4 linked regions of the Caenorhabditis elegans genome follow. The gene in region 2 interacts genetically with the main gene of each other region. Each region holds a gene or a part of one and is shown on either strand. Other genes may lie near its edges. The genes, in order: lin-35, let-60, ksr-1 and sem-5.

Region 1 (7,613 bases), on a different chromosome or scaffold from region 2:
TAGTTCGATAGTTAATGGAAGAAAGTCAAGTCCAGGAATCACATAGCGGCAGGTTGAGATTTTTCGAAAATATCTATCAAGAGCCCGGACGACAATTGAACAGTCTTTTGCATCACTTGATGATAGAAAAACTTTTGAAACCAAAGCATGCAGAGAATTCATTTCCGTCTGTAAAAAAACTTTAATTTAATCCAAATCGTTTTTAAATTAACAAACCTTCAAAACCGTAATAAGATCTTCTCGTTTATCCTCAAATAATCGATCATGAGTTGTTGCAATCAGAGTGAGATTTGGAATAAAACTCTCAGAAGCTTTATCAACGAGATCCAAAACATCCGAATGATTTGCTGATAATTCTTTCAAATCTACTCTTAAAGATTGTTCTGAACACGTGAGCAACACTTTCTGAACTTCATCTTCATCTCTTCCAATTGTTAATAATAAATCTACAGCTTCTGATACTAATTCTGCACCAGAAGCCGGATTTCGCAGTTGATCCATTAATTGATTTTCCGTCATATCATAAATTTTCTTACTTTTTTGAAGAACTAATTGAACTGTTGGAACGTCTTTATACTGCGATAGTGACTCTTCTGCTAATTTGAACATTCGAAGAACTTCTCCATAGTTTCGCTCATCGAATTCACTCTGGAAGTTGTTTAGTTTGATGCAATATGAAAAAAAAGTTTTAAAATTAAAAATGTTACCCGCAGAACATGAGGAAGATCGAAAATATGCTTCAAACTATTCACAACTTTATACGAGCTTCCCAATTGTAGAATATCGTCACGTTTTTCGCCCAAAACTCCGTCAAGATTCCCAATTAGAGTCGATATTGTCGACATACTTCGGCTGAGAGATTTCATTTCCTGAAAATTAACATTAAAATTGTCTGATTTTATTATTATTCGAAAACTAACAGAATCGAGTTGCGTGAATTCATCTTGTATTTTTCGAACCGTATTTGTCGCAGTCAGAAATTTATTGTAATTTTCGTAGACTATTTGATGTACATCTGAATCAAGCCTTCTCACAGCTGAAACCATCTCCTCCTCTTCTTTTACTAATCCATCAAGCGACTTTTCACGGAGTAATCTGAATTAATAATATTTATCAGTGCATATCTCTGAAAACTAACTTGACGACAAATGCTTCGACATCAAAATCCGGCTTTGTGACGTCCAAAACACTAGACATTTTACATTCAATACTGAAAAATTAAAGAAAATTCAGGAAAACTCGAGAATGAAAAAAAACAGATTTGAGACACCATCAATACAAAGGGAACGAAATTTGGGGGAAATGCTGGTTGCCGAAAAAATAAGTAGAAGGTAAGATGTGTTCAACTGGAACATACATTTTCTGAATTGCAAACTCGATTTCTCTCACATTCACAATTTTTAATCACATTTAATGCTTCAGTTTTAGAAAGTTCTGAAGTATCCTCTTCTTCCTATTCAGTTTCTCAAAATCGATGGTGTCTCCAGGACGTGCACAAATGCGCTCTATTGCGAATTGTGGAACATCATTGCGCGCGCGACTAGAAAAAAATGAGCGCGTTCTTGAAAATTATTTTGCTTTCTCTAATTTTAAACGATTTCGATTACATTTTATCTGAACTTTCTTGGGTTTAATCGAATAAAAAACACAAAAATATTCTTCAGACTGGTAAAAACTTCTTCAATATGCCGAAACGAGCAGCCGATGAGCCTGGAACATCAACAACTGACCCATTTCACGAGCGTAAGCTTTAAATGATTTTATTCAAAGCGTATAATTATACTTGTCTGGAAAGTGAGGCGTTATCAAAGCTAGTTTCTCCGCCGCAGTGAATAGAAAAACTGATTAATGCAATTTGCGCAGGGTTCGATTTTTTCGAAATTTTTTAAACAGCGTTCAAGATTTTACTTGCCTTTCCATCAGGGAGAGAAATTTTTTAGAACTCAGCCTCAAATTACCGCAAATAAATTTAGATATTAATTGATTTATTTTCAGAAAGCCCATTCGATGCCGTGTTAGCCGGCACGGAGACAACGGATACAATATGTGAAGAGCCACCAGCAAAACGAATCGACTTAGATATAAAGCAAGGTATGGGGTTTTATAAATATTAAATCTGATTATTTTCTCCTTTTCAAAAATATTAAACAAAAACAAGGGTTTGCAGCCTCATGTGATAATCTAAATGACTGCTTTGTTTTACATATTAAGAGCATCCTTCGTTTTTCCAATAATTTTCTCTATGAAGATAGATATTCCCCAGTTCATTATCACCTTTATCACAACTCGCTATCATCTCCTACTTATATAGGAAATTATGAAGTTATCAAGCGCTCAGTCACCTGACTAGTTAAGAGGTCACTAACAACAATAGCTACCAATCAAGCAACATTTTTATTATTGCACACAACCACGAGCAAATGTCAAAATATACATAGAAGACAGAGTGAAATCTATTGAAGAACGTCACTTCGGACTGTTATATGTCCTGGTTCAACCACGTCACTATATGCAGGCGGCCGAGAAGTTGCACGTGGTCGGGTTGGATCTTCATCATTTGTAAACGCCGAATTGTCAGCTCCTGTTGGTTCACTCTGAAATTGTTACAGAGTTTTAGTGATGTCATAGGGAAAGAATTTTAGAGCTCATTCTGGCTCGAATTTGCTGGAAATCGGAGGTTTCCCAATAATAACCATTTTTCTGATATTAGTATTACTTTTTCGACTACAAGCGCTCCGTAACAAAATTTAGCGGGTTATTTGAAGTTAATTATAATCGCATTAAGACGTATTTATCTAATGCAGCTTATAATATAGAAAGAATAGCTTAGTTTTATATTATTGATTAATGAATAGTCGTTGAAACGGATTTCATAAAGCTTCAAAAAATTTTCAAAACTCACATTGGCAACTGTCAAAATCGGTGTCGATACGAAAGAACCACTCCTCGTTGATGCCGACGTCGTCGAACTCTCGCTATCAACAGGTTGTTGTTTTGTAGGAATCGGAGGAGCAGTTTGACTTGACATTGGTGGGGCGTAGGCGGTATATCTTGGTGGTGGTGGCATACCACTGGGACTCATTGGTGTTGGTACAATGTATTGAACATTGTAATTTGACGCCTGATGTTGAGGTCTGAACCATTGAATGAATATTCATAATTGAAATAATGGACTCACAATCTGTATGCATTTCTTCTGAGGAAGTTGTAGAGAATCATCATATATCGCATTTGGACGAGTGCAACAATAATACTAACAGTTAGGAAGAAACATGAGATTATAACCATTTCTAATTCTCCAGTTGTCATTTTTGGAACACATCCCTTCGCAGTGGTTACATCCTTTTGGTTATCTTCAAATCAGTTTCTTTATTCCGGAAAATTGTATTGAAACTAACCTGGATTGCAAATGTTATCATTGTTATCCGATAAATAAATACATGCAATAACTGCTCCCAGGATCAAGAAAAACACCCAAAATGTGTACATTGACTGAAATTGATAATTATTTCTCAAAGTGTATATTAACGAGAATATTGATGCTTCCATAATTGACTAGGAACATCGAATCTTGTGAGTTATATTTAAAACGTACTAGATATAACATGTAAGCAGTGATATAGGCAATTTTTCTACGCTTTGCACCAGTTGATAGAACAAACATCATGGCGCTTCCAATAGAAATCTCGAAAACGTAGAGCACAAATGGAGATGGATACAAAAGTCCGAATATTTGACATATCATGAGAATGGATCCGAGAATTCCAACAGCTCCCTGAAAAATGTTCAATCCTTGCTGAGATTCAAAATTTCTGAACTTACACCAATTGGAAGTCCACAAAATACCCTTGGCTCCGGTTCAGCAGCTATCCGCTGTGTTGGCTGATGTGGTTCAGCCCGTTGTTGCGGGTGCTGATACGGATCCGTCGTTTGAGAAGACTCGGTTGTCATGGTTCTTCTGGAATCAATACAATTTTCTTGGCTTATATGGTTTATAAATGCATTTGTGTGTGTCTGAGTGTGCCAACAAGAGACCTCTACGAGAGAAAAGAAAAGGAGAAGCAGAGTCGGGGAGGTGACATACGACTGATATGGTCGATGTCACGACAATATGATTCTCTTTTTCTCCCCCTTTCAATTCTTCATGTGTCGGTTGAGTAAATATTGCATGAAACTGTAGAAATGAGGGCATTGGGAGATAGAGAGAGGGACGTTGAAAATAGAGAAGAGCACTAGAATCAGCTGAGAGTATGTGGAGAAATAAAGAATGATAAGAACGTTGGAAGAAACTAGAACAATTTTGGCAGCTTAGTTTCGTCGTTACTTGATTTGTCACAATTAAATATGGATAAGTTGAGAATCAAGGATGCCAAAAAATATTTTTGACAAAAAAAAACAAAAAATTTCTTGTTCAAATTTCGTACCAAAAACAAAAAAAAATTGGATTTTATTTTTCTCGCGATTTAAAGTTAAAAATTTCGAAATTTTTTTTTGGTTTTTATGATATTTATACAATTGTATTTCTATAGAAATACCGAAAAAAAATTGGTGACTTATCGAATTTGTTTTAATTGGAAAAATATAATGGATTCAATTCGTTCTTTAAAAATTATTGGAAATTACTTTAAAATTGAAAAAATTGAAATTTTTTTCATTAATTTAAAAACTGACATCCTTGGGTCAATTCATTGCCATCTGGATAAATTTCCTTTAATATTGTAAATCATTGAGTGTTTCCAGTTGTGTAGGTCTCACTATGAAGAAACTATGAAAGAGGAAAAAGAAAATATAGAAAACCCATAAAAGTGGGAAAAAAACGGAAATTCGTGTTCTCCGTCGAAAAATATCACAATTTATGGGCTTATATGTGTGCGGGACAATGAATTCAATGTAATATTATTACTATGCACATCAATAAATTCAAATATAGCTGGTATCCACTCTTTTGGGTTTTTTCTTTTCGATATGCACCTATGGGAAAAGTATCAAATTTCAAGACAAATCAGTGGTTTTGTTCACGAGAGAATTTGCCTAGTTTCAGAAGGTTTATGAAATATCAATTAGTATTAAGAGTACACAAAATTATAGGATTTTTTGTTGAAAATTTAAAATGGTGCTTCTCCGTTTAAGATATATTTAACAAAAAATCTAACAAAATTAAATTGGTAAACGTTGATATAAAAAATCAGAAAATTGGTTTGGCATTTCAGAAAATATTTCAAGATGGATCAATCGTACTTGTTAACAGTATCAATTTTAATTTAATTTAATTTTTTTTCAAAATATAATAAATATGTTTAAAAATTCATTGATAATAAAAATTAAACGTTTTTCATAAATCAAACTTCGAAACATTTTCATAAAAAGGTAGCACAAGCAATAAGAAATGTTCTTATCACAGTCAACCTAGATGACATGAAATATTAAATGATAACTGTTTTCAGAATTCAATGGTGGAGTGCAAAGTGGAGGGCTGATTAAAAATGAATCCGAATTGACTCAAATGACAATCAAACAAGAAACAGAAGGAAACATAAATGAAGCTAGACGAGAAGAAGAAGACGAAGAACAAGATGAAGATTCCAGAACATCAATGCCACCTGCATTGGGAGAAGATGATGATTATGAGGAGGATGATGCTGATAGTTTTATTGATAAAACTAATGTAATACTATGTTTCTTCTAGTTTTACAACATAATATTTAAAATTATACGGAAAATGATGCGGATAATTTTAATTTTCATCAACACTTGAAAAAGGAAGTCTAGGACTAAGATTTTCTAAAAATTATATCAATGTCAACCTGAAAAGTTAATATCATAATCAGAAAAAAGTATTTTTATTAAACGAAAAAATGAAAAAAAAACCCCCTTTTTGCCCCTGATTGCTCAAATTAAAGTATAAAAAAGAATTTTAAACTTTTCAGACACCGCCACCATCACAATCATTTCTGGAAGGATGTCGAGCAGCTAATTTACCAAATGACATTGTTACTGGTGCATGGGAAACGTACAACCACGCGGTTCAACGGGTTTCTCTTGAGGTTAATTGAGTAGTCAACGAATGCGGGGAAGGGGTTTTTTCAAAACAAACCACTACTATATAATGTAAAAACTGAATAATTCAAGTAGCACACATAGTGAACACAAGTGTGCCTAATTAGAGCTTTCAAAATATTTTTATGTGTTCTGACAATTTTTCATTTCAAATGGCTATGAAATTTTTCACATTAAAAAATAGATATTAATCTGAAAATAGAATTTACTCTGCTGCTTCTTCTAGACAATAAAATAATTTTCAGGGTTCGGAATCGGCGTGGCAACTATCAGCAATTTACTATTATCTTCTATCAAAAGGAATAAAACGTCGTGGAAAAACAATCCGTATTCTCATTCAACCGTTTCCTGTTTCGATACTTACAATTGCCAACTCATTTGACATATCCGTTGCTGAAATGCTTGACAAAACTGCTCGATTTGTGGAAATTATACATTCCAGAAAAATTCGTCGTTATCAAGAATATATTCGACGAATTCAAGAAGGACTCGCAGTTTCTTGTGTGATATTCAAAAAGTTTTGCCGAATTTTCTGCAAAATATTCGAGGAGATCAAAGTTGGATCCGAAAATTGTCCATCTTCTCATGAACTTTTTACGGTTCTTTGGACATCTTTTCTGGTGATGAAAAGTCGAATGACAGTGGACGATTTGATTTCAAATTATCAACTTCTTTTTTCAATACTTGATCAAGTATATACCGAAATGTGTTCAATGAAAGAGGGAATAGTTCATCATTTGAATCAAAAATTTGTTGAAGATCTTCTTGAAAATGATTGTACGATTATTCGAGCTCTTTGCACACAATTTGGTGGAAGTGTTCTTGATGCACGGCACTTTTCTGATCATACTTTTAAGAAAATGGAGAAGACTGGAATTCCGTCCACTTGGAATTTTCAAGAGTTTCGAGATTTGATCATGTACGTTTTATTAGAAAATGTAATTTTAAAAACGAAAATAATACTTTCAGGAACGTTCCAAAAACGGCATATGAGAATTATCTATTGCAACGTGGAAGTATTGATGAGCGGATTTTCATTCCAAGCGTTGAGGACTTTTCAAAAATTTTCCAATCCCCGGACACATACTCAGTAGCAGATATTCTCAAAGTGTCTTACTCTGGAAGACGTTTCCGTGATGCAGAATTTCTTACAAAAATCTCAAATAATCATTGTCTGGAAAAGTTGGCATTAGGTGGAAAAGTAGCATCAGAAAAGTTGGTAACACAGTCAAAAGAACAGCCGAGAGTTCCGTGTGTTGAGTATAATCTCGAATTGGGAAATTATCCAGACGATTTGGAATCGAACAATCAAAGTCTTTATAATAGATTGACAAAAATTATTGGAAGCTGGAAATTGGAGAATTCGAAACTCGAAGAGTAAGTAGCGAATCTATTTTGCACAAAAAAAAGACAAAAAAGACTTTTTTTTCGGAATATAGTGAAATATGAAAAAAAGACAAGTGAAATATGAAAAAAAATGCTTCGATGTTCTTTGATGACTACAAATCAGAAGTATTTATTTCAGAGTGTGTGGCACAATGTCCGACAGTCCAATG
Region 2 (8,088 bases):
AATGATTATGTAGAAGTCGTATACGCTATAGCTAACCTTTTGTGTGAACTTCTGAGTATCGAAAATGCTTCCATCACATCCATTCAAAGTAAGCACGTTGAGTAAAAATTGTCCTTTCTTTGCCTCTGAAGCTGCGCGGAAATATTTTCTCAGTTGTTGAAGCATGGTTTTCTCGGATGATGGATATCGTGCAGCACATCGGATAACCGAAAGGAACACACCAGAATTCTGATGTTCAAGCAGAGAAGAACACTTTGGAGCCATTGTTTCAATTATTTCAGTGACCATTTCCAACGATGTTGAGCTATTGATCATTTTTTGAAGAGGAAAGTTTGAGAATCGATTATCTGTCAATTCGTCAACATTTTTACTGCAAAATTCAATCCATAAAAGACTTCGAGCATCTTCTGAGCAAGTTTCCATCAGCTTATCCCAAACACGAGATCCATTTGATGAATACCATGCCTTCGAGATTCCTTCAATATCTTCCTTTTCGAGCTTCTTCTTCACATATTCATCACCTCTTTTGTCTCCCCAAAGCCCATCGGCTTCAATAAAATCTTGAAATAGTGTCACAAAAATCGGAGAATCCATAAAGGTTTTATTAAGATTCTCATCGAATGCCAAGATTGCAAGTTTTTCATAAACATTCTTCAAGCTAGCCTTCATTTCTTGTCCTTTGTAATTTCTTTTCTTTTCCTCTCCAACCTTTGGCCTTGCTGACAATCCACAACACACCCAGACAATAGCTCGAATCAGAAAACTCGAAGGTTGTGTTGTAACAGCATCCGCCCAGTTATCCATAAGAATTCCTGCTAGTTTTTGAAGAATCTCCACATGTTCTGATTCGGCGATTGGGCACATCGAGAATATCAAATTTTCAATTGTCCTAGCACTAGCTCCTCCGAAAATCAGCTCAGCTAATGTTTTATGCTTGAGACGAGAAATCGATGAAAGGAAGAGAGCTGCTCCTTTAGGACAACTTCCAAATACAGATTCAACAACAACGGCTGCTTCTGTCCACGAGAGAAGAGTTTTCTCCTGGCCAACAACTTCTTCAGCACACTTTTCCAGAATAAAATCTTCAATTTTTCCCTCTTTCTTCTTGATTTGTTCAATACTTCTCAGATAACCAACAATTTCTTTCGGAAATTCACGACCATCTCCATCTGGTCGAGAGTCGTTGAATGAAGCCGAATCAGCTTGTCCGTAGCTATCCGGTTGTCCTGAATTCGTGTCATCACCGCCGCCAACTCGACCGTATTGCTGTAAATTAAATAAATATATACGTTTTTGTGGTAATTGCCTAGGGAGCGCTTTGGAGTTCATTTTATCGATTCTTCACAGAAAAAAGTCTCAATATATCGAATATAAATTTTTTAAAATTCAATTTCAAAAAAATACTGAAATATTTGTGAATTCCCGCGCTCATTTTTTCAGACAGTTTTTCGGAAAGAAACCTCGAAAATCCGAACGAAATTCGATAAAATGAAATTGGTCTAAAACCTATAATTCCACATTTTGAACAATTTTTGTCCAGGAAAATGACTAAAAAATTCAAAAATAATTCGGCTTTTTTTTATTTTTTGCAAAATAATACAAATTTTAGAAATGTTTTTAACTCGACATATCGAAACTTTTTCTGTAATTTTGAGTTTAAAAAGCCAGAGACGCTACATCACTCACGACACCATCTGACACAAACCTTCTCAAAATCTCCGGCACTGAATTCTCTGTTACCACCGAATCCTCTTCCACCACCACCACGTCCACCTCTATCATTTCTTCTAAATCCACCATCTCCTCCTCTTCCACGACCTCCTCCACCTCGATTTCCACTTCCAAATCGTTCATTTTTGGCTAGAAAAGTTCTGAAATTGTTTCTCTCCTCCTGTGGCTTCTTCTCAGCATCAGCAGCAGCATATCCGTATCCTTCAAATGAGTTTTTCGCTGGAGGATTCTCATCAGACTCTACATTTTTCCTTTTTCTCGTCATTCTAATAAATTAAATTTAGTTTTTTTTAAAATCATGCTCCGATGGCGAGGTCAAAATATAACACTGAAATTAACAAAATATAGTTGAATAGATTTAAAAAAATAATATTAGCTTTTTAAAATTTATATCATTGCAATACTTCCTTGAAAATAAAATAATAATAAAAACTTGATCAAAAGAATAGGAATATTATATTCAGATAGGACTATAAAATGTAGAGGAATAGAGAAAAATGAATGCAATACGAGGGAGCAAAAACTTTCAGATGTTCAGAAAATGTATGAGAAATGGGGTCTAATTGTATCTATATTATAGTTAATGAAAGAGAAATAATTACTTGACAAAAATGAGAGGAAACAGAGAAAAAATAAACGGAACGACCGGCAGATGCAAAAGAATTTAATTTTCAGAGAACTTCTGAAAATAGATGAGGCCAATAATTTGTATGAAAACGAGGAAGGGGAATAAAGCATCAAAAAAGCAATACAAACATTCTGAAAATATGCAGAGAAAGTGAAAAAAAAATGGTGCGATGTTTTTTTTGGTAGAGTTGGCCAATTTTGGAACGAGGAGGGGGTTCGGATGCATGTTTTAGATATGGATCACACACTACAGCTAGTTTTGACACCTATGAATGAATGGAGATTTGGGCTAAGCGAAAGATGAGGAATTAGAATGAAGGATGAAGAAAAAAAAGGAGAAAAAATAATGACGAGCAGACGAGAGAACAAGTTCAATCGATGCATAGAGAAAAAAAGGTGGAAATTCGAAGAGTATGTAGAGGCGGAAGAGGATCGATCACAAGTTTCAGATAAAACAGATAAATGAATAATGAAAATGTACCAAAAAAGTACGAGAAAGGATAATTGGGTGGGAGTTGACACGACTGAAAATGAGTTGGCGAAATTGGGCAATTCCCGACGCTGAATCACATTATTTGACACTTCTTCTTCTTTTGTGGCTTATTATTGTCGTGACGCTCACGATGCTGAAATAAAAAGAAAACATTATTAAATCTTTCGGATATCAATCTAGGGTGTCATCAAAATTTTTTTTAGAAAATTAACAATAAAACTCAATTTTTTATCAGATTTTGTGCATGCTGGTGAGAAAAAAAACAAAAGAAAACATATAATTTTCTTTAAAAATTAAGAAAATGACCAAAACTTTGAGCTTTTGTTTCGAAATATCGGAAAAACTTACATTTTTCGTTTTTAGTGAAAAATGGAAACTTGAAACTGTTGATAACAATAATAACATTTTAGAGCTTTACAAAACAGAAAATTTTTAAAAACAACGTTTTTGTATTACTCAAATGCAACATTTGGCGATTTTCAAATTAAAGATGCGGTGCCCGGTCTCGACACGATGAATTTGTGTTAAATGCAAACGTATGTGCGCCTTTAAAGAATACAGTAACTTTAATATTTCGTTTCTGGGGTAATTTTCACCGATTTATTAAAACTGCTGTGTTTTTAAATATTTTTATAATATCGAAAACTTAAAAAAATTGATGAAAATTCCGCTGTAACGACAGTATAAAGTTACCATAATATTTGAAGGAGCAAATCGAACAGACCGGGTGTCGTATTTTTGGCGCGAAAATATCAAAATCTCGCGTCTTTCAATTTTCATATAATAATGACTGAATTTGTACCTTAATTGTACATTAAAAACATTATTTTTAATTTAAATTTTTAACTAAAAAATTACCTTGCGAATTTCTCTAACAAGTGTGTAAAATGCTTCATCAACTCCCATACGCGTTTTGGCAGATGTGTCGACATTCGGAATACCGTAACCCTTTGCTGTCTCACTGACTGTTCGGAAGTCGACTGATCGAGATGACAAATCACATTTATTCCCTACCAAGACCATAGGAACCTAGAAGAAATACAAATATTCAACCATTGACTGATAATTTCAACAAAAAAAACTCACATCATCTGAATCCTTTACCCTCCGAATCTGCTCGCGGTAGTTAGCGACATTCTCGAAAGATTTAGCCTCGTTGACGGCGAAAACCAACAGAAATCCTTCGCCTGTCCTCATGTACTGATCACGCATCGCCGAATATTCTTCTTGTCCGGCGGTATCCAATATGTCGAGGAGGCATGTCTCACCGTCTATCACAACCTGAAATTAGAATATTTAAAAACTAGCTCTCGGAGCAATTTTTAAAACTGAAAAACTATTTTTACTGGTTAAAAACTCAAATGAAAACACTGAAAATTAGGGCTCAATAATATTCTGAATTTCAGAGTTTAAAGATGAATATACGTTTAAAAAAATTTATACTCCTCACACGACACGAGCAGGCATGCTGGTTTATCGATTTGCTTTAAAAAAACAAAAAATCTAAAAAAAAGTTTTGGGCCCTTTCTCAAAAAAAAAGTGAAATTTCTGTTTTTTGTATAAAACGTAAAACGGAATGTAATTATTGAAATTCGTCTGAGAAATATCGATTTTGGAGTGTTTTCAGAATTTTTCCGGTTTTTGCAAAAACTAAAATTTTCGGTTTTCCAATTTTTTTTTGTGAGAATTTTCGGGGGACAATGAAAAATCATGATTCGAGCCATTTTTTTCAGTTCCAGCCATTTTATAATGTCGTGTCCAAAACACGAAAAATTGGTTTTTTTTCGAAAATTTCGGAATTTTTCGTGTTTCAGCACGATTTATTCGTCTTTGGAATCAATTAAACAGCTCGATGTGTTTCAAAAAACTTCCAAACTTCTGACTCATCGTTTTTTTGTTCAATTTCAAATGCCATCATTTTCGTTCAATTTGCTCCCACCACATGTGTGTAGCGGATGTTCCCAATGATTTCTCACCTGCTTTCTGTAGCTGTCCTCTATGGTCGGGTCGTATTCTTCGACAAAGTGATTCTGGATGAGTTGAATGGTGAGTGCTGATTTACCAACTCCTCCATCTCCAACTACCACAAGCTTGTACTCCGTCATTACCCTTTTCTGAAAAAAGACGCATAGTTGAATATGGAAAAATGTAAAATAGAGATGGAAATGAGAAAACGAAGTGGAGAAGGATTTCTGTGGGAGCACTGCCAAAGAGCAGCTCTGCCTATCGGCATACTCAGAATTCCGTTTCTTTTTTTTTTCAAAAAAAAGTTTCGATAAAGGAGAGTAACTACCAGGAAAGAAATAAAAAACCGATGATGACTACTTGAGAATAATTGAGAAGATAGAAAAAGAATGAACTTTCCTGTTAATAAACTAGGTGGTGAGTCGGAATGAGTAACTATTTGAAGACGACGGAGAATGAGTCATTACAATTTGAAAAAAAGAAGAATTCAAATAGTTTGAGTAATTTTGAACTTTAAAAAATGGGGTAATGCAATTATTAAAAAAAAAACCAGGAGAAAAAAGGTCTTCACTTCATCAAAAATTGATTTCAAAGCGATGAAGAAAAAGGGGGACAATATAATGTTAAAATCGGTGAGACGGCGGACAGTGGTGCGACCCGACCACTTATTGTCGCTGACAAATGGCTCGAATCGTCGTTTTTTTTCGTCGGTTTCTTTTCGGTCGCCCTCAGTGTCGAGTGGGTCTCTTTCATTTTTCTTTTTCACTTTTCCAATACAAAATTCTCCGATCTCTCGTTAAAAGATTGCAGAGATTGAGACGTAGAGAAGTAAAGTTTTCCTGACAAGCATTTTTCACAAGGAAACAAATAAATTTACGAAATTCAGTTAGAAAGTTTTTAAAAAAACGTTCAATTTTACTTTGTTAAATATAAATTGTTTAAAGAAGTAGCATGTTTAAGAAACAATGATTCCCGTAGGAACTATAAGCAAAAACTGACAAAAAAGAATAATGAACTTACGAAATCACTCATCTCAACTATTTCAGAAGTTGAGAGATGAGAGATAGGAAGGAAAAAGAAGACGTTAGGATTAGTAAGACCGGAAAAGAAGACTGCCCCTTCTCTCACTCTGCATTTTTTTTTCTTCCACACTACTTTAATCCTATCACACAATTTGGGATGCGTTGCTCCATCTTTTCTATCTTCTCATTTGGTTGAACCAAGGAGCGGGTGCGTGCCTAATAAAATGGATTAAGCTAAAGACGAATAGAGAGATGAACTCGGGAGGAGAAAATAAATAGGCAGAAAACGCTTCAAGTGCAAGATTCTGAAGAATTCTTCTTCCTTCTGATGATGGAGACGAGAAATGAAGTTCATAGGAAAAGAAATCCGAGGCTCTGGAGTGCACAGAAGCACAGAAACCACACACTCTCTCTTTCTTTCTTTTTTATCTCTTTCTCTCGCACCCCCCATACACACACACAAAGTAAGAGTAAAAGATAAAGGAGTGCGGTCCCCACCATGCCGCTGCTACTGCTGCTACTGCTACGGCGGGACAATTAGAGAGCACTAGAAACGGTGATGCATAGACACGAACGACCGCGACGCGACAGCCGCTACGCTTTTGACGGTTTTGCGACGACTGTTGGGAGAAGAGACAAGAAGTGAGCGTGTGTGAGACGAAACAAGTGTGATTTGTAAAAGAGAAAAAGAGTGAGAGAAAAGAACTGTCCACTTTCTTTTTGTATCGACCCATCCCTATCTGTTTCTGACGATAACGACGACGACGAAGGATGGTGATAACGATGAATTGAATTATTTAATGGAACGCATGCAATTTTCGTTTCTAGCAAAGGCGGTGGTCTCTTTTTGAAAAAAAAAAACTATTTCCGCCGACGTTAAGTGCTTGAGATTCTTTCTGTCCAATTGAAATCCTCTAAAAAATAGTTCAAGAATTTGAGGAATTCGATTCAAATTGTCTAAGTGCTTTTCTTTGAATGTCCAGTAGATTTATATTTGAATTTTCTTTGTTAATCTACTTTGGGAATTTCTAAAAATGTTTGCTCCCAAATAATCTAGAATAACTTAGGATTTTTAGAAAAAGTTATGACATAACTGAGACAAAAAGAATTACAAATTGCATGAAATATGCCAAGAACGAGAAAACTTGATACTTTTTGAACAATTTTTGCAAAATATATAATTATCGTGGTATTTATTTAGTTTGAAAATAGTGGTGTCAACAAGAAATGACACATACTTTCCAGTAGAATTTGATATTAAAATATATTGAAATGAGCAACTAGAGGAAATGAAAACCTGAAAACAGATATTTCATTATTGAATTTTCGAAACGGTTAGTTTTCAACTAATCTAACAGTTTTATAAACTTCAAGTTTTCTCAAAAATAATATTAGATATGCAAACTTTTTTCAAACATGGCTTCGATAACGTCTTGAATTTTCACAAAAAGTCACATTTAATTTGGAAATTCGGCATTTTTTCCACAGACTTTTCCACAGTTTCAATACGTTTGGTAGGTAAAAATTATGATGGAAATATACCATTCTCAACAGTGTATTTTTAAATAAAAGTTTTTCCTCGGTAGTCTGGAAAAAAAATATATTAAAAGTTGCTTGAAATGTGCCATGAAAACACGAACTTGTGACTTTTTGGAACAATTTTCACCAAACATTATAATTTTAGTGATATTTAGTTTTAAAATAGGGCTGTCAACAAGAAATAAGCCACACTTTCAATTAAAATATGTTGAAATATGCAACGAAAACACCCACTTCAATAGGATCCAAAATTAGAGACTCAAAAAATATCTACGAGCGCGGAAAGAGAAGACGATGGAGCACAGTGAGTCGAAAGAAAGAAACTCCCGGAGACAAACTCTTTTCAATTTAGTTTCATTCGGCCTAGTCGTCGTCGTCGTTCTCGCAGTCGGGGGCCGTATGCACTTGACAACTTGGCTCTCTTTGTGACAACAACGAGTACACGTTCTCTACCGCTGAGTGATGGAGAGATTGACTCCGACGATAAATTATCTAAAAGTGGTGTACTCCACGATGAAATACCAAATAGAAAAAACCAGGAAGTTCAAGAGTTGCTGTTATTTTTTTGGAACAATTTTCGAAAAATCCAAAGAAATAAAGTTCACTAATTATTTTGAGCATTGAAGAATCTGTGAATTTTGAAAAGATTTTTGTCGAGATTGTGATTTTTTGGCAAAAGCGATAAGCAAAAGTTATAGAAACTAGATGAAC
Region 3 (7,753 bases), on a different chromosome or scaffold from region 2:
AGCCTGGCACTGATTGAGGGTCTTTCCACATGCCCTGAAAAAAAGTATTACATCCATTTGAAGATGAACTCAGTATACTAACCCCATTATTTTCTTGAATGAGCTTGTCGAAAAGGAAACGTAAATGATCGGGTGTCAATCCACACGAATCTCCAACACGTCCTTTGCACTGCGTGTGGACCTTCCATCTGAAATTTCCGGTGAGTTATATTTGTGTATACCGGTGTGAAAATAAAATTTAAACATTAGAGGAAAAAACCTACTTGCACGACCTGCACTTCTCCCAGGCGTTTAGAAACCCAAATCCTAAAGGTCTTTGACAAAAATGACAAACTGCATCACCGCTAAACCGGAATTTTGTTGATCTGTGCCATTTGTGAGGAATTGCATGTACAAGCCGGGATGATGTTTTTGGAGATTTTGGTGTCGTAGCTAGAACATTTTTCACTTTAATAACTTTTTCTGTTTTTTTATTCGAATGTGATATTTAAATGAAAACTTTTTTCAAAATTAACTAGTACTAACGTGCCAAAAAGGCCAAATTTCGTCAAAAAGTTTTGCTTCTTTTATAAATTTTTCAAAAATATTATTTTACCTTCAATTATTAGTAAAACATTTAAACTAGTATGTTTATCACACATTTTCTTGTTCCGTCTGAGATTTTGAGCCAGGATTACACTGAGTAAATTTTCAACGGCTGATTTTTACTTGAATTGCCGTATGATGGTATGCATAGAATTTTTTTAAAGCCAATTAGTCTCAAAGATGAATAACCCTTTTTTAGAGAATTTGAAACGCTTTGTCGCAAAAAAGTTTTTTTCCATCCCGAAAATCGTTGTAATTGTCTCAAATAATGAAAAGTGTACCAACAAAAATGTTAATTGTTTTGCTTTCTGTTTGTAAAAAAATATTTTATCACTATTTGCAACAATTCTTCTGCAAAGACCCCTAGTTTTGAATTCAGTTTTTGTACATAATAGTATCTCAAACTTATCAGTAATTCAAAATTCTATCATCAAATATTACTTGCATTTTCAACCAAAAGCCTCAACTATCCAACTTTTAGAAAGCTGACAGCTTATCCCACTCCTCAATGTTTTTGGCAAATTAGTCAGTCTGGTCTTCCAACTATTAACTAATATTCTCACGCTAAGCATTTGTCACATGTGCGTCTCATAAAGTTTTCATTTGACACTTGCGAGAATTGCTTCAGAATGAATAATTGCAAAACCGCAGTGCAAAATTTTTGTTTGCTATTTTTTGAAAGTTCAAAAACTAACCAAATCCCATACTAGATGACTGAATCATTTTGGCACTTGTGACTGAAAGTGAAGGAACGTTAAACTTCGGACTTGGCGTAACAATTGCTGGTGTTGACTGTCCTGACGGCTCGTCAGTGGATCCACTTGATGTGCGACTGTGATACGCTAAAAATAATTGAGATTTAGTTTATGTAGATGAACTGATGTTTGTTTTGAATTGATACCGTATATCATTTACATGAACGTTTGCAAAAACTGAATGATTAAACATCACATGATCTAATTCACTTTTCCTGACAAAATTACATCAATTGTATTAATTGTACATGTTTTAAATAAAATAAAACAATTCCATAAACATTTTGTGAAAAGGTTTCATTCTAAGAACAAATTATTTTCACAACATTTTTTCGAAGTAGATGAACCATAGAGAACATTTGAAAGATGTGCGGTATTTCTATGTCAAATTTGCTGGTTCAATGTGTATCATTACACTACATTTTAAAAATTTTAATTTGAATAAAAGAATAAGGTTGATTTTTTAATTCTCAGGCTGCTTAAAGTATTAATTCTAAAATTAACAAATAAACCGAAAACGACGTTTGAAGGCGGACTCCGATCTGCGGGGGAAGTTTTTCAAAACCATTCCTATGGTACAAAAATAATCAAATATACCATAATAAAATTATTCCAAAAACTTTGGAAAGTTTTTTTTATTTAAAATCAAAAAGCTCAATACTAAATGGTCACCAGTTTTTGCGGAAGTCCTCCATCATAAAATTTTCCATTTTTTATTTCAATTACATTCAAAATATTCAAATTTTAAAATGTATGGGGTTTGAACATTTGACAGTGATTTAAATTTTCAAGAAGTGGAGCAAACTCAGTATAAAATATGCTTCAAAATTGTTTTAATAAAAACCGTCTTGTTTTTTTTTAATTTTGCAGTTACCATCTCGGGATTGATTAAAGTTAAATTTTAAAGTTTGATTAAAAAATGTCAAATTACTGGTTTTGAGACTATAAATTTTTATGAAAATAACTAGAAAAGTAAGGAATTTTGAGAACATTTTCAAAAAATAACAGTTGCAAAATTTTCGTGGCAAGAATTATTTTCTTCTACATTTTACTTAATACAAATTTTCAAATTGCCGCACACTTACCGTTCCAGTGATTTTGTAAAATCACTGTAGATTGAAGCAACTTTCGTTTGGTCTCCACATCAAGACGACCACGATCCGCAAGCGATCGCAACTGAAATAAACTTTTATGTTTGGGTTCAAATGTTCAGAAGGCGGAGCACAGAGAAACTCGGTTAAAAGTAATGAAACGAGCAATAGAAGTTTGATAACATGCAGACAAGAGTGAAAACAACTCGTAGAAATGTAACAGGTGTTGTTGGAACACGAATGACGTTACCGAGTATACGGAGGCAATGCAAAAAAACAAAAACGTGTATGCTTTGGATCGCTAAAAACAATGAATGTTCCAGAAATGCTTCAGCATAGTTGTTCTCACAAAAAACATTCATTCAAAATCAACTCTAATATTTTGGCCAATTATCATATGAAAGGCCACTTGAAGTTTTCAAGTTTTGTTTCGAATTCAAATTTAACAATTGATTTGTTCAATGTTGTTGTAAATTAAATGGTAAAGTTATCTTAAAAAATTTGACAAATCAAGTTTTAAAAAAATCTTCAATGAAAAAAAGGAAATTTTTAAATCTGAAAAATTACCAAACTAGTTGATTTGTCAGATAAAAGTAAGACAAATTTCATTTCGAAAAACACTTCCTGCTGCAAAATGACTAAATGAAAAGTCGAAACTCAAATTCAAACAATTACGAAATGAGATGATAAAAATCAGTCAGATACATGACTTATGCATGTGCTAGCTGAGAGAAAGTTCGTGAGTCTTAAAAAACAACAATGAGCAGAATATCAATAGGTAACAATTAACCTAATCCTCTTTTTCTGTTTACTCTTCTTTTTTTGGATAACAAATTAGCTCACAAAAATCAGGAAAAAAACGGAGAGAGCTGCAGTTTTCTGGCCTCTAGAGAAAGAGAAGAGTGGGAAAGGAAAGGAGAGAAATGCAGAAAGTAGAAGGTGAAAAGAAAGAAAGAAGAGACGGAAACAGAAACGGAAAAACGAGAGGGAAAGAGCGTCAAAGCGCACTCCCAAACACCCCAAACCAATGGGAAGCGTAGAGGGAAATGAAAAGAAGTTTAAGAATAAAACGATAATGTTGAAGGTTGTGACCCGAATCAGCAGAAAGACATTTAGAAGGATATAGATATGCCTAGAACCCGATTTGTGAGTGTTTGTATGTTTCTGTTAGGTGTAAAATCAGGAAATGATGTGTGAGAAAAGAGAGAAAAGGTAGAGCAAAAAAGAGAAGGATCAAACCTCTTGGTTAGTGATGCTGAACAGAGCATTGAAATCGGTGATCGAGCAAATCTCCAAGTGCCGAATGTTTTGTGCGCTGAGCCCGACAAATGTGAACCAAATGGCGTTGATCTCACGCTTCTCGCGATCAATCAAACCAATTTTTGTCATTTGATAAACGGCCGAGAATATTTTGCGCTGTAAATTGAGAATCATTGGAATTTAGTTGACGTCAATGAAAGATTTCAGACCATTTGTTTCAGGTTGTTTCACCTTTTCATCTGTCTCTGATATCTTGATTACTAAAATTCGTAGAAAAAAAGAGTTACATTCACTTAAAGTTTTTAAATCTATTTTTTAAAAGCTTTGATATTTTGATATTTTTTCATATTCAAAATATCATAAACTCACTAAATTTAAAACATTTGAAAATCAACATTTGTTTGAAAGTAAGTTTCAGTTTTTCAAATATAACGATTAGCGTTTCATGCACGAAGTTGTGCATCTAAATTTTTAATTTTTTAAATTTATTATCAAAATACCATTATAGAATTTAATTATACAAATAAACTTTACAGTATAAACGGAAAACGTCTAGAAAAACGTTTAGTACCACAGATTGGTTTACCACAAAGATCTAAAACAATTTGGACTGAGGTGTCAATATATGTATAGTGTATTTTATGAACAAAACTTTAAAGCATCTTAAAAATTTTTTCTGCTGAATGAAGACTAGTCTGTCTTGAATTCATTTATTTACAGTTTATAAAACAACGATGCTCACGAATAGGAGAAGTTTGAATTTTTACAAAAGTTGTTTTTTTTTCAAAAAAACTTACTTCTACACTTTTTGCATCTTCTTCGTATGATGAAGTCAAAAATCGATTGATAGTGGTAAGTTTCAAACATTCTGCAACTTCGAATTGTTTTTTTTTAAATTTTTTTTACTAACCCTTCAAATTATTTATAGCCTGTGTCTTTATATCCTGTGCGATTCCTGCACCAAACTGCGGTAGATTACTGTATCCCGCACGTGATGCAACTTGGGTTTGCATCATTCTGTGTATTGATATTATTGGTTAGTTTTTACCTTCTCCGGATCTTTTCCCTGAAATAAATCTTTCGTTGGTTGAGCACAACGTTCAAAAGGTTGCCAAGAAAAAACAGTGCTGGTTTTTGGTCAACTTTTGGAAATCCCCGGTGCAAACGGAGCACGCTGTGAGCTCACACGTGCGCCACACTCTTTTTTGCTTGGTTTCTCATTTTGTGTATGTGTGTGTGTCGTCGCAATTATCAAATGGCTCCCTGTGAGCTCATCCTTCGTTTATGTATGTGTGGTAGTGGGAGCAGGGCAATACGAATGTATTTGGTGCTTTAGAAAGGCGTTAAATGACTAGAAAAGCAAACGAGCAAGTAATATTGAAAAGTGCCGAGTTTTTTCTGTTAGTATGGTTTGCATTCGTACTGTAAGGGAGCAAGACAATTAGAGAAAATATGTGTATGCCCCACAGTACAGTCAGAAATTTCAATTCATGAGTTAGTAAAATCTACAATATTTTCTTCCTACAAATTCCATCACAATTGGATGTTTACAATTCAAAGTCAAATTGCGATGACCAATATAAGTATGCTTACAGTTTGTTTACTATTACAACATCATCTACTCAAAAAAGGTGTGTATTAACCTTCTAGAAAAGTCGAAATCGTCCGGAAAGTAAATTAAAAGCTTTCGGCGGCTTTCTGCCATCGAAATTGTGAAGGTTGCGTGGCGAACAATTATGAGACAGGTTATGTACATTACTCAATTTAGAAGTGACGAGAAGAAAAGAAGAATTGGTATTTTCGACCACATTTTCTTTTCCGGTGGTTAGATTAGACTTATTACATCACAATGTCCCGATTTTTTTCAATGGCATTCTACTTTTATTTTGGCTTCTTTTGTTTCTTTAATTAGAATACTGTTCCAAATCCAATAATTGTACTCTACCAATATTAAATGTGTTTTTTTATTGAGTAGAAATATTCAACTATTTCACTTAAAAAATCGATTATCCTTTATCATCACTCCTAAGTAATTATAGTTTATCAATTTGAGTTTTACATTTTCCTAGCTTTGCGTATTAAAACTACCACAAATACAAAAATTAGGAAGCTTAACTTTTCTTTCTTTTTTAATTTTTCGCTTTCACATGAAATACCGAACAACAGTATGGCGCTTAAAAATTAAGCAATGCCGACCGAAAAGAGTAGTTGTGAGAAAAAATTGCCATAAGGCTTTGGTCGGAAGTTAAAAGAAACGTTGCATTCAAATACTGTTCAATATATTGGAGAAAATAATGCTAGAATGCTGAGAGTTGTGGAAAGAGAAAGAGGAAGAAAGATCGGCGTGCAAGCAAACAAACTGTTTGAACGTGATGAAGAGAAAAGGGGAGAACGGTGTGGATTGACAGTAGGAATAGTAGGAAAGGACGCAAAAATGTCGGGAAGACGGGAGGATGGGGGGAATAGTGTATGAATAAGAGAGAGAGGAGACTGTATGTCTATGGGGTGAGAGAAAATGGTCCGCAATGAGAAGACCACAACAGGTGTTCAAAATGTTGCGTAATCAACTTAAGAGTAGGTCAAGATTCATACCAGGAATGCATTGAACAAGCTTTTAGTTCCTGGTTTGCTGGCAGATCACAACTAATTTAGTGTAACATCTCGGCAAAGTCAACATTAAAAATGTTGTTCCTGCTCGATGAAAATTTTGAAAGTAATTATGGGTAGTTTGTTGAACGTGCCAAAAACTATGGTAAAGTTAGCCAAAAATTAGGGTAAAATATAAGTACTGAAGTAATAGCAATTACGTTTTAAAAGACGACTAATGGACCAAAATGTTTAGACTGTGTTTTAAAAAGAGACTTCTCAAAAAATGCTGTTTAAAATGAAAACCGATTGTATTTAGCAGAAAAATTTAAAGTTTACAAATTTATACGCGTCGCAGCGGACAACAAACATTTTTTGTTGAACTATCACTATTCATTGATTTTAGTCCTTTATTACAAATTTTATGATAAAAGACGTGAATTTGGATGTGCATTGACAGGCAACCAATTTCGGTTTTTCGAATGGACATTTACTAAAATTCTCCTGTTTTCTCTATTAGTATTGTCTCAGTCTGTTTACATTTGGAAACCCATAGCTTGTTTATTTTTTAATTTTATGGAAAATTGTTATCAAACAAAAATGTACAGTATCTTTATCTACATACTTTTAATTGTCCATTTTCGGAAAACTAGAAATCGATTCAAGACATAACTTGTCAAAATAAAGTAATTGAGCGGAACACTAATAGAAAAAAAGAAAACACAAAATATACAACTAATATATGCAATAAAGAGTGAAAATTAGGTTAAACTGATTTTGAGCCCCTGTAACACATAAGAATGACATAACAAGATATGATGTAGATTTTGACTTTTCTCTTCAAAATTTTGAACTACCATAGATCCTTCTTGTTAGGAAAATATGATCATATTTTCTTTTAAAGTTTCAAAAAACGTTGTGAATTTCTGCTTTCAAAATACTACTTGAAAATTAAAATAGCTTTAACATAATTGAACACTTTCTATTAATGAATAAATAAGCTTTCGTCCTCCGGAATTCCGCTGTGAAAAAATGTGTCCAATTCTAAAAAATATGAACTCATGAGTTCCTTATTATTATTTTTGCATGATTTCCTCATGACACAGTCGCGATAACTAACCAAATTGAATTGCGATCTCAAATCAGAACATTGAGCGAACAAAAGGTGGAAAGCCTAAGAGAATGCATTCCTATTTCGTTGGCTCCAGTTTCAGAAATCCATGCCATTTTGGCCGGAAACGTGCACTCAAAGTGGTTGCCGCTACCAGAAGTCTATTGTGTGCGTGTATTGTGTACATTTTATATGAGAATGTGATATTGAGCTTTAATGAAACATTGAACTCATTTTGAATTTGAATGTTGAATTGAGTATTTTGTAAGAGAGCAATTTGGTCATTTCATATTCTGAATAACAAAAAAATGCGGGAGGTTGCTTACAGGCTGAGATCAGAATCCCAAATAATAAGGAAAGTTGAT
Region 4 (7,612 bases), on a different chromosome or scaffold from region 2:
TTCCTCACTATCTCCAATATGAACTTTGACAAAAACAGGTGGCACTCTGCTTGTCACAGAATGAAGTTCAATTGAAACGAGAAAAACATCAGAATAGCGCGCTGACCAGCCACGAAAGAAACTCCGCTACTTTTTCTCATAAATTTTGCTCCTCCGAAGAGAGCTCCTATCTCGCGGCAACTATTTGAAATTGAATAGTCGTCGCTGGTGGCCACTCCTCGCGATTATTATGTTTCTCACACTCCATGTGCATTCTCGATATTTCATTTTAGAAGTGATGTACATTCGTTTAAATTTATATTTGCATATGAATAGTTTAACACTGCATGCTCCATTTTGAATCAGCATGCACTGCAACTTCAAAAAAGTAAAACTAGTACTTTTGTTGTAGGAATAAATTTTGAAATTAGTAAAATAGGTGCAATATGAAACCAGCAAGATTCATTCTTCTCGACATCCCAATAGTATCCATTATTCACAAGAACCCTCCATTTCTATGTGTTCAAGCAAGGCCCCCCGTATACATTACGCACTAGTGTTGAGAGTGATTCATCTCGCATCCAAACCAAATCATTCTGGAGTGCGCATTTCAACACTTTTTAGCTAAGCGTGTATGCATACACAGATCGTTGTCAATATAAGTTTTCGGAAGAGAAGAAGTGACAGATGAATGTGTCTGTTTCTGAACCGAGATGATGAGTAATCCCCTAAGCATCCATTCGTTTTCTTTCTTTCGATGCAGAGTTCCATTTTCTGTATGAAACATTATCGTTTTGTTTTTGTGATAATGTACAAATGAAAATTGTTTACAGCTCGTAAAAATCATAATATTGCTCTTTCTAAATGAATTGTGTACCAATTAAAATTGCGTTTCTGGTGATATCGCCCTCCCTCAGTAAATAGAATAAAACTTTTAATTTAAATTGTTTAATTAAAATTTCTGGAGTTCGATGCTAAAACGTTTCTTTTACTAACGCAAATTTTCAACATTTATTCTGCACAATTACAAGATACTAGTTTTATTGTTGTGTCGAAGTTTTTAATCAAAAAATTACATAAAATTTTAAAGAAGCATTTTTAGTTTTTTGATAATAACCTTTTTCTCATTTCCAAAGAATTAGGAAAGTGTTCAAAAACTGCCTCAAAGGCGCAATCCAACAATATTGAAATGGGTATTTCGTGAGTTTATCTAATGTTCCAAGAGAAATATGTCGCACATCTTTGAGGCAATGTTTTCAAGCCTCTAAATGAAGTGAAACCCTAAATTTAAAATTTGGGTTAAGTTTCTGTTAACGATACAAATTCAGAATGTTTTACTGAGAATGTTAATCTATTCGGTAAATCGGCGCCACTTCTCAACCAACTTTAGCCATTTTCTAACTGTCATTTGCAAAAGTGGCAAAAGTTGGTTAAACAGGGTTTTTACGCTCTAAGCAACTAGAAAAAGTGTGTGAAAGTTGACGAAAGTTGGTCGAGAAGTGGGAAGTGGTGGAAATCTAATGGCAGTTAGAAAGTGGCCAAAGTAGGTTGAGAAGTGGCCACGAGTTGCCGACTACGGAACCTAGTAAATTTATTGACAAATCAGTCACATAACCTTGCTCTTGGAAGTTCACACTGTAAAACAGTGAGAATTTTCAGAAAAGTTATATGGATATATTTAAAGAACCAGTGACAAAATTTAATATTTTGGTTCTTAAAAAAGTTAATTTCAGTCATATATTAGTTTTACTATAGATACTGTTCTTACGATTTTGTATTAGTCAGGTAAATACACATTTGTCAAACTAACTAGTAGTAAATACAGTTGGTTTCCAGCTAGAAAACACTATTCCTTATTATATTTACGTACACTCACCGATTAAAATGTCAAGTATTTATGAGTAACTGTCACAGGTTCGATTATCTTTTTTATATCGGTTAAATTATAGTCTTATTTCGTAATTTTCATTAAATTTTTTAACTGCTAAATAATTTTCCAGCAACTGAAGTTCAAAAATTTGATTGAAGTTGCAATCTATTTATGTTTCCTATCTAATTTATCATCTCTAGCCCTATTTCCGAAATAGTTTTCATTTTTATTTTTGAAAAGAGAATCGGTACTGACTACCCAGCACACCCAAATGTTTTGATTTCTAGACGGTTAGTCACCTCAGGCTGGACAGGACAAGGTGGGAGTGTGTTTGTTGACATTCTTCTAATCGATGAATTGCAATACCCAATGCCTTGGAGCATTTTCAATTTGATTCTTTCTTCTTCGTTTTCTCGTGTTCTCTTATCACTTTTCATTTGTTCTTTTCCGTTTCTCCGGCCATTCATTCAAAAGTGTAAGAAAAGACGTGCATGATGACTGCTGATAGCGTATCGCACTTTTTTCTCTGAATCTCCATTTGAAACCATGTAAATTACAGAACTCATTGCGGAAAACAGTACGGTCCGGCCTGCCCAAACTCGCCGTTGTTTTTGTGTGTGTGTGGGAGAGACAGATAGAGACAGTGCGAAGATGGGAGAGAAAAAAGAGACACGAAGAACGCGTGATAGATTTGGAGTATTAGAGAAAAGTAGTGTCGTAGCATTCGGCACATTTAGTGTTGCATACAATGCGCCGGAATCGACGACACTTAGTGTTGCCCCGGTTTGTTACTCTCCGGTTTCTACTGTTTCCACTGTTTCCCCGTTTTCACGTTCAAACACTCAACTAAAACCACCTCAATCACCGAACTAGTGACCCTGCGGGTTTTTATTTTGCGTTCTGCGTTTCTCAATTTCATTTATCCTTCTTTTTTCTCGCCGGTCCTCTTACTCATCTCCTGTTACAATTTGCACTACGCTCTTCTCATTCTCATTTTCCCTCTCAGTTGTTCCTCTATGCTTTGCCGCTAGATTTTTTTATTGCTCTAATAATTTTTCATTGGCGCCGCGCGGATATGTCGATATGTAGATACAGTCTCTCAAGCAGGCCAATTTATTGACAACAATGTTTGTTCAATGTACTCTGTTATGTTTTATTTTGGTGTTAATTGTTTCTGAAGCTGCAAAGAGTATATTTCAGGTAGCGAGACGATGGAGGCGGTCGCCGAGCATGATTTCCAGGCGGGATCACCTGATGAGTTGTCTTTCAAGAGAGGAAACACGCTAAAAGTTTGTTCAACAATATCATAACCGGGCCCTGATAAAATCAATAATTGCAGGTTTTGAACAAAGATGAAGATCCACATTGGTATAAAGCTGAATTGGATGGAAATGAAGGATTCATTCCTTCTAATTATATTCGTATGACTGAATGCAATTGGTATGTTCGGGAAAAAATAGTTTGACTTTTTTGAGGATTTAATCTATAAGCTTATATTTTAAAAATCAGTCGATCTTACTTCTCGCGGTTTTTGTTTGTATACCCCGCAGCTAGGGCGCGAAGAACTGAGAACGCTTGCGTAAACAATTTTTAAAATTTCTGGATTTTTAGGTACCTTGGTAAAATAACAAGAAATGACGCAGAAGTATTGCTGAAAAAGCCAACCGTACGTGATGGTCATTTCCTTGTCCGACAGTGTGAAAGTAGTCCAGGAGAATTTTCGATCAGTGTTCGGTAAGAAGATGTTATAGATTTTCAAAAAGTTATACATTTTTTTCCAGATTCCAAGATTCTGTACAACATTTCAAAGTTTTGCGTGATCAAAATGGTAAATATTACTTGTGGGCTGTCAAATTCAACTCTTTGAATGAATTAGTTGCTTATCACAGGTGAGTCACACTTTTTCAAAAAAAAAGTAAAAAATCAATAATTTTCAGAACCGCTTCTGTTTCGCGTACTCACACAATATTGCTGTCAGATATGAATGTGGAGACTAAATTTGTACAGGCCCTGTTTGATTTCAACCCACAGGAGAGTGGAGAGCTAGCTTTCAAAAGAGGAGATGTTATCACTTGTAAGTGTTTTTGAAACACAAATTTTCATGATTTTAAAATGTTCAATTGAAAGTTTGAATCAAAAAATTCTAGGTTTAATTGAAAATGGTAAAAATGGATATATCTTGGACTGTATTTCGAAAATTTTGAAACTATTCACTTTATAGATCTTAAAACAAGAATATTTAAGAAGAACCATAAAAATAACAAAAAGGTAATACAAAGTACTAGGAAGATAATATGAGACGTCTTGCTTAAACTAACTTTCACTGGAACAAATAAATGCACGTATTGAAAATCAGTTGTTAGATTAGTTTTTGTATAAACTCAAATTGAAATGAAAAAACTCTGTGGCTATTATTTACTTTTCGGAGAAACATTGGATTTCAAGATACAATTTGCAGCATTATGAATGTTCACAACGTAAAAATAGAGTTAATCGGTTGATCATCTATTTGTCGGGGTTGAGCAACCCCGAAAAATAAAACATTTAGAAAATCTCTTATATTTTATTTTCAGTGATCAACAAAGACGATCCAAACTGGTGGGAAGGACAGCTGAACAACAGGCGTGGAATTTTCCCATCCAACTACGTATGCCCTTACAATAGCAATAAGAGCAACTCCAACGTGGCTCCTGGCTTCAACTTTGGAAATTAGGACGTTATTTTAGGATTTTTCCTGTCTCTGTTCGTTCTTTAAAAGGAGCGTTCAATGTTTCTTCTATACCATTTGTTCTTGACATAGTAGTCTAATAAGCCCTCTCTTACTTAATCTCCAATAATAATCACTAAATCTTGTCACAAACACACTTTCCAATGCTGGGTATTAATTTCACAACTTTCTCAAAACTGAGATAAGTTGTTCGTGTTTTACATGTAGACCATGAATTTTCAATGTTTTTATTCTTTGCAACTTGGAACTGCCATTGGCAATGTTTTATCGATTTTTTGTTCGGTTTCGTTGGCAATGATACAATTCTTGTTGTGTTATCAACAGCCTTTTCTTTCCCGCTTTCTTCCAACCCCACACCAATTCTATTACGGATCTATTAAGCGATTAGATACTCTGACACAATACTCAGAGACTGTTCGCATTTGTTTTTTTTTGTGTTCATGCAATTTTTGTCATAACTATTTGCCATTTCTCGTCATTGTCTCTCTTTTTCTTTTGACATTTTGCAATTCATCCAAAACCAATACGATTTTTCGTTCGGTGCTACATTGTTCGGTTTTATCACAACTCACACTGTTCTGATATAGTTTTATCACTTCATTCTATTCCTCCGGCTCAATCTCTTGTCGAGAGCATCATGAAGCTTCTCTCTGCCTCCCACTTTACTCGCCGTCTTGCTTTTATATCGAATTTGTCAAGTATTTTCCAATCCCTTTGTAAATCAATGAAGGTTAATAATTATTATATTAATCCACTTTCTATAATTTTTACAGAACATAATTTGTAGATGCAAAGTAGTTTATCTGGAAAATTTTGCATGTGGAGTTTCCTTTAATGACATTTTCACATTTTGCAAGCTAGTTTGAACAAAATACTCAGACATTTCGAATTTTAATAAAAGTCTTCTCCGATTAGTTTTAAAGTTTATACGGCTCTAAAAACGAAATTAAACCATTAGTTAAAATTCTATAACGAGTCAATGATAATAATTAAAATGAGCGTAATGGGTTGTGAAATCTTTTGTCAACGGAAAAGGTGAAGTGGTATGTTTTTCGAACTTAAAAATCAATTTTTTTTCAACCAAAAAGCGCGCCGTCTTTACTTATTTCTTGGATATACCAGATAACAATTTATTCTAAATTTTAAGTTATTTTTTTAAATTATAATTTGTGAGTCTCAAAAATGCAATAGTGCTCTCAATTTTTTTAAAGCAACGTTAATGTCTTTTGCTTTACCACACCTTTGATTAACAATTGAATTTTGAAAGAAAACGTAACAATATAAAGCCGTATATATTCGTTGTTTCGTGATATCACGAATTTACAGACCGTTTTATAGTCTCAAAACGACAATTGGAAGCTTGATGCTCAGTTGACGTAATTATATTCCATGGAAAACATTTTTTGCATTGAAAACCTTTTAAAAATTCGCAATTTGAAATGTATGCAAGTTGTTTATGAGCAAAATTGGCAGGATTTAAATTTCCAAAAGGAGTCGGGCTGAATTTATTTTGATGAATACGGAAAAAACTGCAACGTGCAATTTAATTGAACATGTTTCACCTATTGTTTTAATTATGCTCAAAAAGAAAAAAAATAAAGTAAATTTTTATTCCTTTTTTTAAAATAATACTTTTGAAAACCTCAAACGAAACGCAAAAAGCAATCATGTTTCAAGGGCACTCGAGATGAGCCAAACGTTTCTATGCCACGCAAAAGCCAAGTCAAGTCTCGTTTAAACACGTGTGCTCACTATCCCTGCTCCCTTTTCGTATTTTGTCTGCACCTTTGCAACTGCCAGTCTCACTCGTTTATGTTTTCGTCCTTCTTTAAATTTAGTATATTGGTTTTTTCCCATTGATTATCTTTCTAAAAAAACGTTTTTTTGTTCAGCCAGGCATGGCTTTTGACCCAGATCAGCCACGATATGATCAATCAACATTTTACGGCCGACTGCGGCATTTCGCTGGAATGACAGATCCACTGATTGCATTTTCTTCAACAACAGAACTCATTACTGCATCGGAGTTAATGCAAAAATGCAGGTATAATTTTTTTAATATTAGGCTGTACACGTAAAACAAATTGAATTTTTGATTTAACCAAAACATTTATTATCAGAAAAAGTTAAATTACATATTACAATAGCTGTATTTTTTCTTAAGTATTTAGAGTGAAATAACGGATATAAGAGCTTTAAGGGTCTGAGTTTGAAGTAATTCAAGCAACATTAAAAATTTCACAAAATTTGTGTTAAATACAGTTTTGTAATATCTTTGAAGAAATTTTTTCAAAAATAAAAAAAACGTTTACAGAGAGAAGAAGCCAGTGCCGGCAACACTTGAGGAACTTCATCGTTCGCAACGTCTGTGTCAATCAGCTTTTCATCCGGATACTGGAGAACTTCAGAACTTTGCTGGAAGGATGTGCTTCAACGTCTGGGGTGGTACAATGCTGTGTGGTGCAATGATGATCTGGTAAGTGAAAAAGTATTGCTAAAAGTAAGCTAAAAGGTAAAAGTAAGTAAAAGTATAAAAGTAAGTAAACCAATTACTGTTCCAGGTACAAATCGACGCCAGCTGTAATTTTCTGGCAATGGGCAAATCAGTCATTTAATGCACTGGTCAATTATACCAATCGAAATGCAAAGAGCACATTGACAACAAAAGACTTAGTTGTATCGTATTCTACAGCAGTGTCTGGAGCACTGGCAATGGCAATTGGGCTGAAAACATATTTTGCTAAGAAACAGAGCAGTCCTTTGGCTCAACGATTAGTACCACTGGGAGCCGTTGCAGTGGCTAATGCTATTAACATCCCTATGATGCGTCAGAAGTGAGTACTTATTAGAGAATAATCAGTATTTTTTAGTTTCAACCAAGTTTTTAAATGTTTTTAATCCGAGGTTAACTTTGTAGCCCTGAATCTGAAAGCTTTGAAATTTAGGAGTACAGAAATTTAAAGTTTGCTTTCTTATCAGTGATTTATTTTGAAACCCATTCAAAATTAAAATCAAAACGTAAAACTCCTAAAATC

The links.
Region 1: of let-60 (region 2) and lin-35, changing one enhances a phenotype caused by changing the other (phenotypic enhancement), as found in Caenorhabditis elegans (2 studies listed by BioGRID).
Region 3: of let-60 (region 2) and ksr-1, changing one enhances a phenotype caused by changing the other (phenotypic enhancement), as found in Caenorhabditis elegans (2 studies listed by BioGRID, with this or other methods).
Region 4: of let-60 (region 2) and sem-5, changing one enhances a phenotype caused by changing the other (phenotypic enhancement), as found in Caenorhabditis elegans (2 studies listed by BioGRID, with this or other methods).

Annotation. Positions count from the first base shown.
Region 1 is NC_003279.8:5,806,045-5,813,657, forward strand, and holds the start of lin-35 (Retinoblastoma-like protein homolog lin-35), read left to right. Parts: upstream 1-1,664; 5' UTR 1,665-1,685; coding exon 1,686-1,743; intron 1,744-1,995; coding exon 1,996-2,091; intron 2,092-2,376; exon of another isoform or gene 2,377-2,453; coding exon of another isoform or gene 2,454-2,594; intron 2,595-2,902; coding exon of another isoform or gene 2,903-3,134; intron 3,135-3,178; coding exon of another isoform or gene 3,179-3,353; intron 3,354-3,398; coding exon of another isoform or gene 3,399-3,492; intron 3,493-3,595; coding exon of another isoform or gene 3,596-3,775; intron 3,776-3,822; coding exon of another isoform or gene 3,823-3,951; exon of another isoform or gene 3,952-3,958; intron 3,959-5,444; coding exon 5,445-5,665; intron 5,666-5,927; coding exon 5,928-6,044; intron 6,045-6,302; coding exon 6,303-6,976; intron 6,977-7,026; coding exon 7,027-7,434; intron 7,435-7,582; coding exon 7,583-7,613. Other genes in the region: vps-51 (Vacuolar protein sorting-associated protein 51 homolog), read right to left, coding at 1-168, 217-648, 708-869, 921-1,095, 1,139-1,197; C32F10.4 (uncharacterized protein), read right to left, coding at 2,454-2,594, 2,903-3,134, 3,179-3,353, 3,399-3,492, 3,596-3,775, 3,823-3,951. UniProt on the Caenorhabditis elegans protein: Key regulator of cell division which acts as a transcriptional repressor and negatively regulates cell cycle progression in its active unphosphorylated form, but allows cell cycle progression when phosphorylated.
Region 2 is NC_003282.8:11,686,122-11,694,209, forward strand, and holds let-60 (Ras protein let-60), read right to left. Parts: upstream 4,968-8,088; 5' UTR 4,957-4,967; coding exon 4,828-4,956; intron 4,133-4,827; coding exon 3,938-4,132; intron 3,881-3,937; coding exon 3,710-3,880; intron 2,985-3,709; coding exon 2,925-2,984; 3' UTR 2,106-2,924; downstream 1-2,105. Other genes in the region: ZK792.5 (Nucleolar protein 9), read right to left, coding at 37-1,266, 1,706-1,996; ZK792.12 (CidA/LrgA family protein), read left to right, coding at 7,672-7,681, 7,730-7,806. UniProt on the Caenorhabditis elegans protein: GTP-binding protein with GTPase activity. The level of let-60 controls the switch between vulval and hypodermal cell fates during C.elegans vulval induction. May stimulate the guanine nucleotide exchange factor (GEF) activity of rap-1.
Region 3 is NC_003284.9:8,272,173-8,279,925, reverse strand, and holds the start of ksr-1 (Kinase suppressor of Ras A), read right to left. Parts: upstream 4,758-7,753; 5' UTR 4,708-4,757; coding exon 4,602-4,707; intron 4,560-4,601; coding exon 4,489-4,559; intron 3,848-4,488; coding exon 3,671-3,847; intron 2,517-3,670; coding exon 2,426-2,516; intron 1,428-2,425; coding exon 1,281-1,427; intron 433-1,280; coding exon 264-432; intron 189-263; coding exon 83-188; intron 35-82; coding exon 1-34. UniProt on the Caenorhabditis elegans protein: Serine/threonine-protein kinase which positively regulates Ras-mediated signaling probably acting at the level of let-60/ras or/and lin-45/raf. Involved in sex myoblast migration.
Region 4 is NC_003284.9:7,957,161-7,964,772, reverse strand, and holds sem-5 (Sex muscle abnormal protein 5), read left to right. Parts: upstream 1-3,049; 5' UTR 3,050-3,060; coding exon 3,061-3,138; intron 3,139-3,188; coding exon 3,189-3,289; intron 3,290-3,460; coding exon 3,461-3,583; intron 3,584-3,630; coding exon 3,631-3,738; intron 3,739-3,786; coding exon 3,787-3,923; intron 3,924-4,422; coding exon 4,423-4,562; 3' UTR 4,563-5,320; downstream 5,321-7,612. Other genes in the region: sfxn-2 (Sidoreflexin), read left to right, coding at 6,476-6,621, 6,892-7,053, 7,139-7,411.